Caenorhabditis elegans: one gene and its partner. The protein of the gene in region 1 interacts with the protein of each later gene in a pairwise test. Each region holds a gene or a part of one and is shown on either strand. Other genes may lie near its edges.

Evidence for each region.
Region 2: the proteins of pola-1 (region 1) and div-1 interact in a two-hybrid assay, tested with the Caenorhabditis elegans proteins (one large-scale study listed by BioGRID).

What each region holds. Positions count from the first base shown.
Region 1 is NC_003281.10:11,140,723-11,145,594, forward strand, and holds the start of pola-1 (DNA polymerase), read left to right. Parts: upstream 1-1,725; coding exon 1,726-1,869; intron 1,870-1,916; coding exon 1,917-2,010; intron 2,011-2,061; coding exon 2,062-4,406; intron 4,407-4,872. Other genes in the region: Y47D3A.1 (F-box C protein), read right to left, coding at 1-14, 63-184, 228-397, 723-812, 857-913.
Region 2 is NC_003281.10:10,244,447-10,250,392, reverse strand, and holds div-1 (DNA polymerase alpha subunit B), read left to right. Parts: upstream 1-1,833; 5' UTR 1,834-1,846; coding exon 1,847-1,937; intron 1,938-1,993; coding exon 1,994-2,174; intron 2,175-2,683; coding exon 2,684-3,012; intron 3,013-3,191; coding exon 3,192-3,371; intron 3,372-3,945; coding exon 3,946-4,125; intron 4,126-4,345; coding exon 4,346-4,571; intron 4,572-4,635; coding exon 4,636-5,194; 3' UTR 5,195-5,337; downstream 5,338-5,946. Other genes in the region: Coronin-like protein cor-1, read right to left, coding at 1-47, 422-529, 1,173-1,256. UniProt on the Caenorhabditis elegans protein: May play an essential role at the early stage of chromosomal DNA replication by coupling the polymerase alpha/primase complex to the cellular replication machinery. Required for the distribution of pie-1 in cell divsion.

The DNA of each region.
Region 1 (4,872 bases):
TTCGACTCTCTCATCTGAAAGTAAGAATATTAGAAAATTAAGAATGGATCAATAGAACTCACAATCTGAATCTGTAAATAAGTCATTGAGAGCCAAATGAATAATTTCTCTATCAATACAACTGAATTCCAAGTCTTCAATTATTATTTTGAATACCGTTATCTTCATCGTTTGTTTCAAGAACCTGTAATATAAATTTACATACTCATTTTCATAACAAAACTTGCCTCGCATACTTTCGTATGTTCTTAACATTAAGCTCTACCGAATTCAAGTTCACTGTACAATTTGGGCATCTTCTAATAATATCACAACGAGTAGGCTTGTGAAAGATCACTGTTTGATGCTCTATTCGAATCGAATGAATGATTCCAAAATTGAATGCTTTGTTGACCAGCTGCAAAGCTATTTATTATAACTTGAAATATAAATATTGGACGAAAACACTGGGCTCTGGCCTTCCTCATTGCATTTTTCGCGCTCTATTGACAATCGCCCGCCGGACAAGGCGTGGGAAAGTCGTGTACTCCACACGGACAAATACATTCAGTTTTACAAGCCGCGACGCGACACGCAACGCGCCGTAAATCTACCCCAGATATGGTCGAGCCAAAATGGTCTAGTTTGGCACAAACTCTTCCATTTCAATTTATGAGGGAAGCCAGATATCCGTGATATTGGACTAAAATATTTTCTTATCAAAATTTATAAAAATTACTCACACGTGACTTCAACCGATTGTTCATATCTCCTTTCACATATTTCAGAATATTGTCGACGATTCTTTGATTTGTGAACACTTTCATGCTGTTCTGAAAACCATTTCGCATTTTTTTTCAGATTTGGTTTAACTTACAGAAGAATTGTCGCCAACAGGCGTAAATTGGTTTCTATAAATTCTTGACAAACTCATTCCGAACGGCTGAAAATATTGATTGAACTGAATTCACATTATTCATTAAAAAAAATAGGTTAGCCTGTTATGTAGAGAAATTTAGTGAATAAAAAACTGAATATGTATTTATTTAATAGATTTCTCGGCACACAGGAATTAGGAATAACTCCCAAAAAATAGATATTTGGCAGGAGGGCCGAACAGCTGTGTTTTCCGTGACGTCATACAGGTCAATGGACACAGGATGTAGTCATATTACGGGAACACACAATTCTGAGAATGCGCACTGGGGCATTTGATTTGACGCGCAATATCTCTTAGCGAAAACTATTTACAGTAAGAATTTAAATTCTACCGTAGCGGGCTCAATTTTCGAAAATATATTTTCTTATCGAATTTTGAGAGCAGTTTTTCAGTTTTCCATGCTTGATTTTATTATTTTATCTTTAAATAAATTTTTTTCATTGAAAAAACGGGAAAAACACCGGGAGAAATTGATCTGGTGAGAAAATTATAATATTTCTGCTGTTTTCCTGTTGACAACTTTAGAAATGTCAATTAAACAACTATATTTTAAAATAATCATTTATTTTTTTAATTACGTCAACTAGAAAACATTAACTTTTTGCGAAAATTCACTTCTACCACACTCATCATCCCGAAAACAGCGAGGTCTCATGAAATTGCAAGCGCGCTCTACTGCAAGGAAAGGCAGCGCGCGAAGCAAATTTTCAAACAATTTTTTGAACGTTTTACCGCATTTTCTCACTTTCTCGCTTAATTTTGCTATGTTTTTTGCGATTTTTTTGTAATTTTTCTTCGTTTTTCAGATGTCCGACTCGGAAAACCATGCAGAATCGGATGTTAGACGCTCGTCTCGCCGCTGTGGAGTCAGTCAAAAGAAGTCGAAGGAGCTGTCTGCAATTGAGCAGCTGAAATTGGCGCGATCAACAGGAAAAGCCTATCGCCCAGAGGTAGTTTTATAGCAGATTTTTGTTATAAAACGATTTTTTTCATTTAGCTCGACGTGGAGGACGTCTACGACACGGTTGATGATGATGAGTACGAGAAAATCGTTGCAAAACGACAAAAGGACAATTTTATTGTCGATGATGGTATTTTTCTGATTTAAATTGTTAACATTTTTCAAAATATAAATTTTTCAGATGGAATGGGCTACGTAGACAACGGTGTAGACTTTGAAGATGACTACGAAGACGATTATGCGCCCAGTTCTTCGAAAAATTCAAATTCCTCGAAAAAAGGCGAGAAAAAGCCGAAAAAAGACAAGAAAAAGGGAGGACTTCATGCATTCCTCTCCACAACCTCCACCAAGAAGCCGATCGACGAGTCTGTGGTGAAAGCCGAGTTTGACGACGATGAGGAGGTGAAAAATATGCTGGAGCAGCTGGGAAGCAGCGATGAGGAGGCCGAGGAGAAGCCGAAGGCGACCCCAGCGAATCCGTTCAAGCGGGGACGAAAATTCGACTCACCGAGCGGCTCGGATTCACTGGCTCCACGGCCGATTGCTAAGAAGGCCAAGAGAGAGGCGACCGGGCTCGCCGAGCACAAATTCCAGCGGCATGTGAAGGTTGATGAGGATGAGGATTATGGGATTCCAGATGATTATCCAGTGGCTTCTCCGGTGACTTCTCCAGTGAAAACGGAGAAAATGGCAGAAGTCGAAGCTCCAACAGCTCCAGCGATCCAGAAAATCGAAGAAACAGTGAAAATGGAGACCGAGCATCTGGAAGAAGTCGAGGATAGTCTGGCGAAGTTCCGTGTCATTGAAGACTGGACAGGCGGGAGCAGCAGTCAGGAGGACGAAGATGTGAAGGTCGAGGTGAAAACCGGATCCGAAGCCTTCTACACGATGGGCGGCGAGGACAACACCACCAAAGCGATCCGTATGTACTGGATCGATGCCTACGAGGATGTTCACAAGGCCAACGGCACCGTCTATCTCTTCGGAAAGGTCAAAACCAGCGGTAACGCCTGGGAGACCTGCTCAATCGTTGTGAAGAACATCTGCAGGAAGGTCTACTTTATGCCTCGCACCAAGAATCTCAGCACCGGAGAGGAGTCGAGCCTTGCCGAGCTTCACAAGGAGATCGGAGATGTTCTGCGGAACAAGTTCAACACACACGAGTTCAAGTGTAAGATGGTGGAGAAGGAGCTGATCCGTGACGAGAGCTTCGGCTACGGATGCGGCACGAAGAGCCCGTTGATGGAAGTGCTCTATCCGGCGGAGAAGGGGAAGCTTCCCAGTGATCTTAAGGGTGACACATTCTCCAACACCTTCAACACATCAGTCACTCCGTTGGAACGGTTGCTTATTGAAAAGAAATTTATGGGTCCTGGATGGATTGAGCTGTATAACTATTCGGATCCCAAAGCGAAGACCTCGAATTGCAAGTATGAGTTTGAGGTTGATATGGAGAAGATGCGGAATATCAAGTATCTGGAATCCTCTGACGCACCACCGCCGACGATCAAGCTTCTCGCCCTGAACGTTGTCACAACGCTCAACGATCGGAAGGACAATGAGATTTGCATGATTTCGATGCTTTTCAATCCGAAATGCGACTTGGCTCATCCGAGTGGTGATAGTAAGGATTTGAAGCCGAAATGCCTCGTCACAAAGCCTCCCGGTGGATCTCTCCCCTATGACATCCAAAAGCGCTTGGAAACTGAGAAACTCTCGAAATTCGTGAAAAGTGTTGCTAATGAGAAGGCACTGCTCACCCTGTTCCTGGCGATGATCAATGAAGATGAACCTGATATGATTGTGGGACACGACTTGTCGGCGACAATTGCCTTGTTGGTTTCAAGACTTGAAAAGCTCAAGCTGCCGAATTGGTCTAGAATTTCTCGTTTAAAACGGTCAATTAATATTGGAAAAATCGGACATTCAAAATCAGGCCAATGGGAGCTCACAGCGGGGAGAATGATGTTGGACTCGAAGCTTGCCGCGATGGAACTTGTTAAATCTCGAAGCTTTGATCTCACAGAGCTCTCTCAACAGATCCTTGGAGCCGAGCGCCGTGAGATTTACGCCAATGAGATTCCGCAGTTGTACGTGGATTCCAAAGATCTGATCAGTCTGATCAATTGGTCTTGGAACGATCTTCTACTATCACTTCGGATCGTTGTTCGGCTTAACGCTCTGCCACTCTACATTCAAATCTCGCAGATTGTCGGTGGAATCGCTTCGAGAACGATGATGGGAGGACGTGCCGAGAGGAATGAGTATCTGTTGCTTCACGCGTTCGAAAAAGCGGATCTCATCGCACCGGATAAGTATAATAGCTCGGAGAGCAAGAAAAAGAAGGAGGAGAGCCAAGAAGGAGACGAGAAGAAGAGTGGAAAAGCACAATATTCGGGTGGTCTGGTGTTGGAGCCGAAGAAGGGACTCTATGAGACATTGATCTTGCTGCTCGATTTTAATTCATTGTATCCAAGCATTATTCAAGAGTATAATATTTGTTATACGACGTTGGAGTACTCGAAGGTAGCATCATTTTCGCTTTTTGAAAGATTTTTTGGAAAAATTTCAATTTTCCCCGCAAATATCGAAAATTTTTTGGCGATTTTTCCAAAAAAAAAAAAAGGAAAAATTTCGATTTTCCATGAAAAATGTCATTTTTCGGAAAAAAAAAACTGAAAAAATTACACAATTTCAATTTTTCCTGAAAAATGCCATTTTTTAAAACTATTTTTTTCCAACAAAAAAAAAGGAAAATTTTCAATTTTCCCTGAATAATATCAATTTTTTCTCAATTTTCCGGAAAAATTTCGATTTTCCCCGAAAAGAATTTGAAAAAATAAAAAATTTCTGGAAAAAATTTCGATTTTCCCTGAAAAATTCTGAAAAAAAACTGGATTTTTTTTTCGATTTTTTCAGCAAAATTTAGAAAAATAGAAAATTTTTCGATTTTCCGGAAATACATTTTAAAAAAACCGAAATTTTCGATTTT
Region 2 (5,946 bases), 900 kb from region 1:
GCCTTGTGAGCATCCACGAATGGATAGTCCTTGTCGACGCGACCGATCTGGAAATATTTGGCATTTTTTGGATAGCAGGAACGTGAAATGTCGGCTGCTTCAATTTAAGTTTCCAGAGAAATTGAAAACTTTAGTAACCAAGGAAGATTTCAAAATGGTGTTTTTGCAGATACACAGCTATAGGTGTAGGTTTTTCACAAAATTTCAGTTAACTTTTTTTTTAAAAATTATTGATCTTCTAAAGGTTTATTCAATAATTTTTTAAAAGTTTTTGTTTTCCGACCCCTTAGGTAACAGGTGTTGTTGAGTTGCTGATCATCATGCTCGGAAAAAAATAATTAAAAAATTAAAAATCCGGAAATAACATTTGAAAACACTTGTCAGGTGGGGTTTTTGTGTTTTATTTGTATAAAAAACTTACCTTATTCACTGGAATGACCATAAATGGTCCACCAGCCCCTCTGTTGATGAAGGCGATGAATTTCGGATTGACATCGCAGAATAATGAATCCCAAGTGATTTCTGTGACCTGAAAAGGTTGAATTCAAGTTTTTAAGGCGCCTTTAAATAGCGGGTACTGTATTTTCATATATAAATTTTTTAAACAATAAAAAACTATTTATTAATTAGTTTTCTATACTTTTAAAAATCTATTCAAATTTTTGGAAAAAAAAAGGTGTTTTCTTTTTTTAAACTTTTCTAAGAATATGAATTGGTATTTCAGAATAATTTTTAACGCAAAAGAAAATATCGGTGGCCGAGTTTTCTCTTTCACGGCCACGTGACAAATTCAATTTTTGGCATTAAATAACTCTCTAAGTTTAGAAAATAACTGAATTAACTGCGCATATATTTAAAGTTAAATAAAAAAATATGTTTCGCAGAATTTTTTTTGTTGAAAAAGGTATTTGATTTAGTGTTGGAGTTCTATGAAATTTTGAAAAAAATTAAAACATTTAAATTTCTTATTTTTCTGCGTTCTTAAATGTGCATTTCCACAAAAATCGAATCCAGGGGATTGTAAAAAATTTTTTTCAGATAAATTTAAAGGATGGAAGAAGAAAAAACTCGGCCACCGATTTTTTTGCGGCTACGTAGTAAAATCCGCTTTTCACAGTTTTCTAGGAGGTTTTTCTCTATAATATAGGAGTTTCATGAAACTAGTGATTTACCCTAATGTCAGACATGCAGCTCTCATGCTTGACGGGCTTACAGAACACGTGCCGGAATTTACTCTGCCGGACGATTTGCGCCATTTTCGATCTGAAAAAGGCTGAAGAATTGCAACTTTTCTAGTCAAAAGCGAAAAACGGCGAGAGTGTGTGAGAGCGGAGTAAATATGCAAGGATTTGCGGGTGCCTCCTGCTGCTCCTGTTGCTCTCCCGCAGGCAGCCCGGAGCCCCTGCAACTCGTCGGCTCCCGTGCTCTCTCCCATGTTACACTTTGTTGGCTCCCGCCATCGCCCCGTCTTTCGTTGAGATGCCTGCGTACTCTTGTTTAGCTAAAATCCTATGTGTCTCGGTGGCTATGGCAAATCCACAATTGATAACGTCGGGGGAGGGAATCGGAACACCCTTGACAAGTGTGCACAAAAAATGTGTGACGAAATGCGCGAAGTAATATAATAAAACTTTAAAAACTTTACTAAACAAAGTTCAAATTATTTATTTTTCTATCTCCTATTTTCTATTTCCCAAGTAACTCTTTGTTTTCTGCGGGGGCTCCGTGCCTCGGAGCTCGAATTTTCACAGTGCAAGCGCGCTCTACCGCAAAACAGGAGAGCGCGCGAGATTCAACTCGACTCACCCATTTTCTCATCAATTTCCTTCCTTTTTCCCGTCATAAAATGGCATACGAGTTCGATTTGGAAGATTTTAACGATAATCTTGAGCCATTTGGCTTTAATTGTCCCGCAAAAGATCATTTTATTGAAAAATGTAAGTTTTTATTCAATAATTATCGGAAAAAACATCAAAATATTGAATTTTTGCAGTAGAAGGACTATGCAAAACGTTCCGGAAGAGCGGTGAGGATATTGTCGATGATGTCGTTTCGGTGATGAGCAATCTTGGGCAAAAGTCCGTTGACTCTGGAATTTTGGCGAAATTAGAGGAGAATCTGGAGGCTCAGGCCCAGAAAACTGTGCACACGCCGAGATCTGTGAAAAAACCGGCGTAAGTAAAGGAAATCGCAGATTTTTGAGTGAAAAATTACATTTATCATCGAATTTTGCATTGGAACTCAAATTTATAGCAAAAATCTATTTAAAATGAGAAAAATCGACAGTTAAATGTTTTTTTTTTAAATTTTTTTCACGAAAATTCTCAAAAAAAAAAACAGTAAAAATAAAATTTATTTAGTGTTTTTTCTGTTGATTTTTGAAGACATTTTCGTTTTGTTATTAAAAAATTCGAAATCTAAAAATGTTTAAATTAATTTTTTCAGTTTTTTTTTTCAAAAAGTTTTTCGCAAACGCGCTTCACGGCCCAGTGAGAACGCTCCGCCCTCAACGGTTGGGTCTCGCTAGGTATTGGCGGCAAAACTGTAAATTCAAAAAACCTAACGAGACCCAACATTTTGCCGTAGAGCGCACTTGCATTTTGATAAAAATTTAATTTTTCTGCGCCCTAATAATATATCAATTTTCAAGTAAAGTCTCGAAAAAAACCGCATTAAATTTCAGACGCGGCCGTGTTCCGCTCGCAGAAAAAAGTGGATTCATCCTAAGTGGCGACCCCGATGACATTGAAAAACCGTCACATCACCTCACAAATTCAGCGATTGCAAAGCTTGAAGGACATTTTCTCGACTTTTCACCATTTCCCGGTTCCCCGGCTAATGAGAAATTCCTGAAAAGAGCCGATCCATCACATGTTGTCACAACTATTCGAGGGAAGAAGTATCAGGATAAAGGATTGAAAGGATCGACAAAAAGCGATGATACTATAAGAATTATCTCGAAAACGCCGAGTACATTGTATGGTGGAGATAAATCTTCTATGGTTATTGAAGGTAGAATTTTTTATTTAGAAAATGTTTTTCTCAAAAATTCTAATTACAGTACTCTTTAAAAGTGCACATCTTTTTGCATTTAACGAAAATTTTCGTGTCGAGACTCGTTACCGTATTTTTGGCACCAAATTTCGCTTATGAGTAATATTCAAGTTTTCACAAAAAAAACAAATTTTCAGCAAAAGCACAACGAATGGCAGATATCGCTCACCGTATCCAAAAATCATTCGAAGAAATTGTCGATTGGGGAAATCCATCGATACCGTCAGTTGATGTTGTATATACATATGGACAAGTGATTCATGATGAGACAAAGGATAATGAGAAATTTGGAGAGCATTCTGTTGCTCTTATGATTAGTGAGAATTCGTTTTTATGGGATTTTTTAGTTAAAAATTGAATTTTAGCCATGAAAAATTGTTAAAAATTTCAATTTCCAAAAGAATTTCTTGATTTTAAACTTCAAACTAATTAGGATTTCTGTTAGAAAAAAATCTATGAAATCTCAAAAATTGGAAATTTTTAATTGAAAAAACATATATCGAGTTTTTTAAAATAATTTTTTTTACAAAAAAAAAACGAAAGTTTCACAAATTTTGTTTTTATCAATTTTTTAAAATAATTTTTATAAGCTGAAATTTAAAATTTTCGAAATTTCAATGAAAAAGGCAAAATCAACTAATGAAAATTTTTAAGTTTTTTGAAAATCTTTTTAAAAAAATCGAAATTCAAAAACTTGAAAAAAATTTACGAAAAAAGCGAGAAAACTGTAAAATATGTCAAAAAAATGTGTATTCAAAAAATAGAGAAACCCCGGAACTTATGAAAAATTGAAAAGTTTCCGAAAAAAAAGTGTTTTTGGAATCGATTTCAAAAAAAAATTGAATATTTTTTTTGGAAAATAAAAAATGATTATAATCTAAAAAATTCCAGACGACGAAGACGGCACAATGATCCGAATGGATTTTAGTAAAATGACAGAAGATATAACTCTCTTCCCCGGACAAATTATCGCTGTTCGTGGGACCAATGAGACTGGCGAGGAGCTTCAAGTTGACAAGATCTTCCAGCCAGCGGCACTTCCAGTGAATCCCGTTGAAACTGACACTACGAGTAAGGTTTTAGCACAATGTTAACAAAAGTTTTTTATGGCCGAACTTTCAAGCAATTACTAAAAAATCAATTTTTCCGACATATCGGAAAACCGAAAATTTTAAGATTTTTTCGATTTTCCTGAAAATCTCGAACTTTTCCAGCCTGGCCGAGAAAATGTTGGTGGCTTAGTTTTCTATTTTACGCGGCCACGAACATCAATAAAAACCAAAATTTTCAGAAGAAATCTGGTTTGCGTGTGGTCCGTACACTGCGACGGACAATTGTGGGTATGAGCATCTCTGTGAGCTTTTGGACAAAGTCGTTGCCGAGAAGCCCGATATTTTGATGCTGGCTGGGCCATTTGTGGATAAGAAGAACACGTTTTTGAATAAGCCCACTTTTAATATTACCTATGACAATTTGTTGGAGGATTTGCTCTTGAAAGTTAAGGAGACGCTTGTCGGGTTGGTTTTTGAACAATTGAATTTCCTTGAAAATTGCAAAAAAATGATAATTTTCAAATTTCAGCACAAAAACGCAAGTGATCATTCAACCGAACGCATCCCGTGATCTTTGTGTTCCTCCGGTCTTCCCAAGTGCTCCGTTCCAACAGAACCGAAAACTCGATAAAATCAAGAAAGAGCTGATCTTCGTCGCCGATCCATGCATTTTCCGAATCAGCGGTGTCGAGGTGGCAATGACTAGCAGTGAGCCTATTCAAGCGTTGAGCAATACGGAATTCCATCGATCCGCAAATCAGGAGAACATTGATCGTGTCGCCCGTCTCAGCAGTCATCTTCTCACTCAGCAGTGCATGTATCCATTGGAGCCAACGGAAGTTCCAGCGTCCATGGGAGATTTGCTCGATGTCTGCTGTATCGGCTCGACTCCTCATATCGTTTTTGCACCGACAAAGCTTGCGCCATCAGCAAAATGTGTGAATGGAAGTGTGTTCATTAACTCATCTACACTCGCCAAAGGGCCAACAGGAAACTATGCAAAAATGTCGATTAACCTGAATGCCGGAGAACTCATGCCCGGGGAGACGGTCGCCGATTATGCTCAGATTCAAATTTTGAAAATTTAACTTTTTTTTTCTTCCATTTCATTTCATTTATTCATTCAATTTTCCTATTTCTTCTCACTTACTTATTTTCACATTATTTCCTTTCAGTTTTTTTTCCTCTGCACAAACAATTTTGCTTATATTTATGAATAACGTTTATCATCATCATCATCAAATATGTACAAAAGTGAAATAGTAAAGCAACCGAGAGTGGGTGAGGGACAACAACCTGATTGGTATGCAATGTTTAGTTATAATTTACGGTAGAGAATTTCTAGAATTGCTGAGAAAAAAAAAATGGAATTTGGGGAAATAACCCGTTTGTCGAGTTGGGGGAGAATGCGGGAATTATCTACTACCGTATATTATTTTTAGGAAGGGTATAGCGAATTTCAGAAAAGTTTGTGGTATTTCGCATTCTTTTTTTTTCAAAAAATTTCAAACTTTCGTTGCAGAGAAATTTTTATGGATTTTCAGATTTGGAAAAATTTATTTATGTTTTATTTGTAAATTATTTTAGCTTTTTTCAAAGTATTTTAACGAAAAACTATTGAAAAATCCACAAAAATGAAAGTTTCCAATTACAGTACTCATCAAAGGCGCACATATTATTGCGTTTAACGAGAAATTGTCGTGCCGAGACCGGGTACCGTATTTCTGGCGCGAAAAAAAACGCAAAATTTACAATTATGTTTGAATTCAAATTTTTTGATTTTTCGATCGCTACACCCCTCTATTTTGAGAAAATCAATAAAAATGTTTGCGAAAACAAA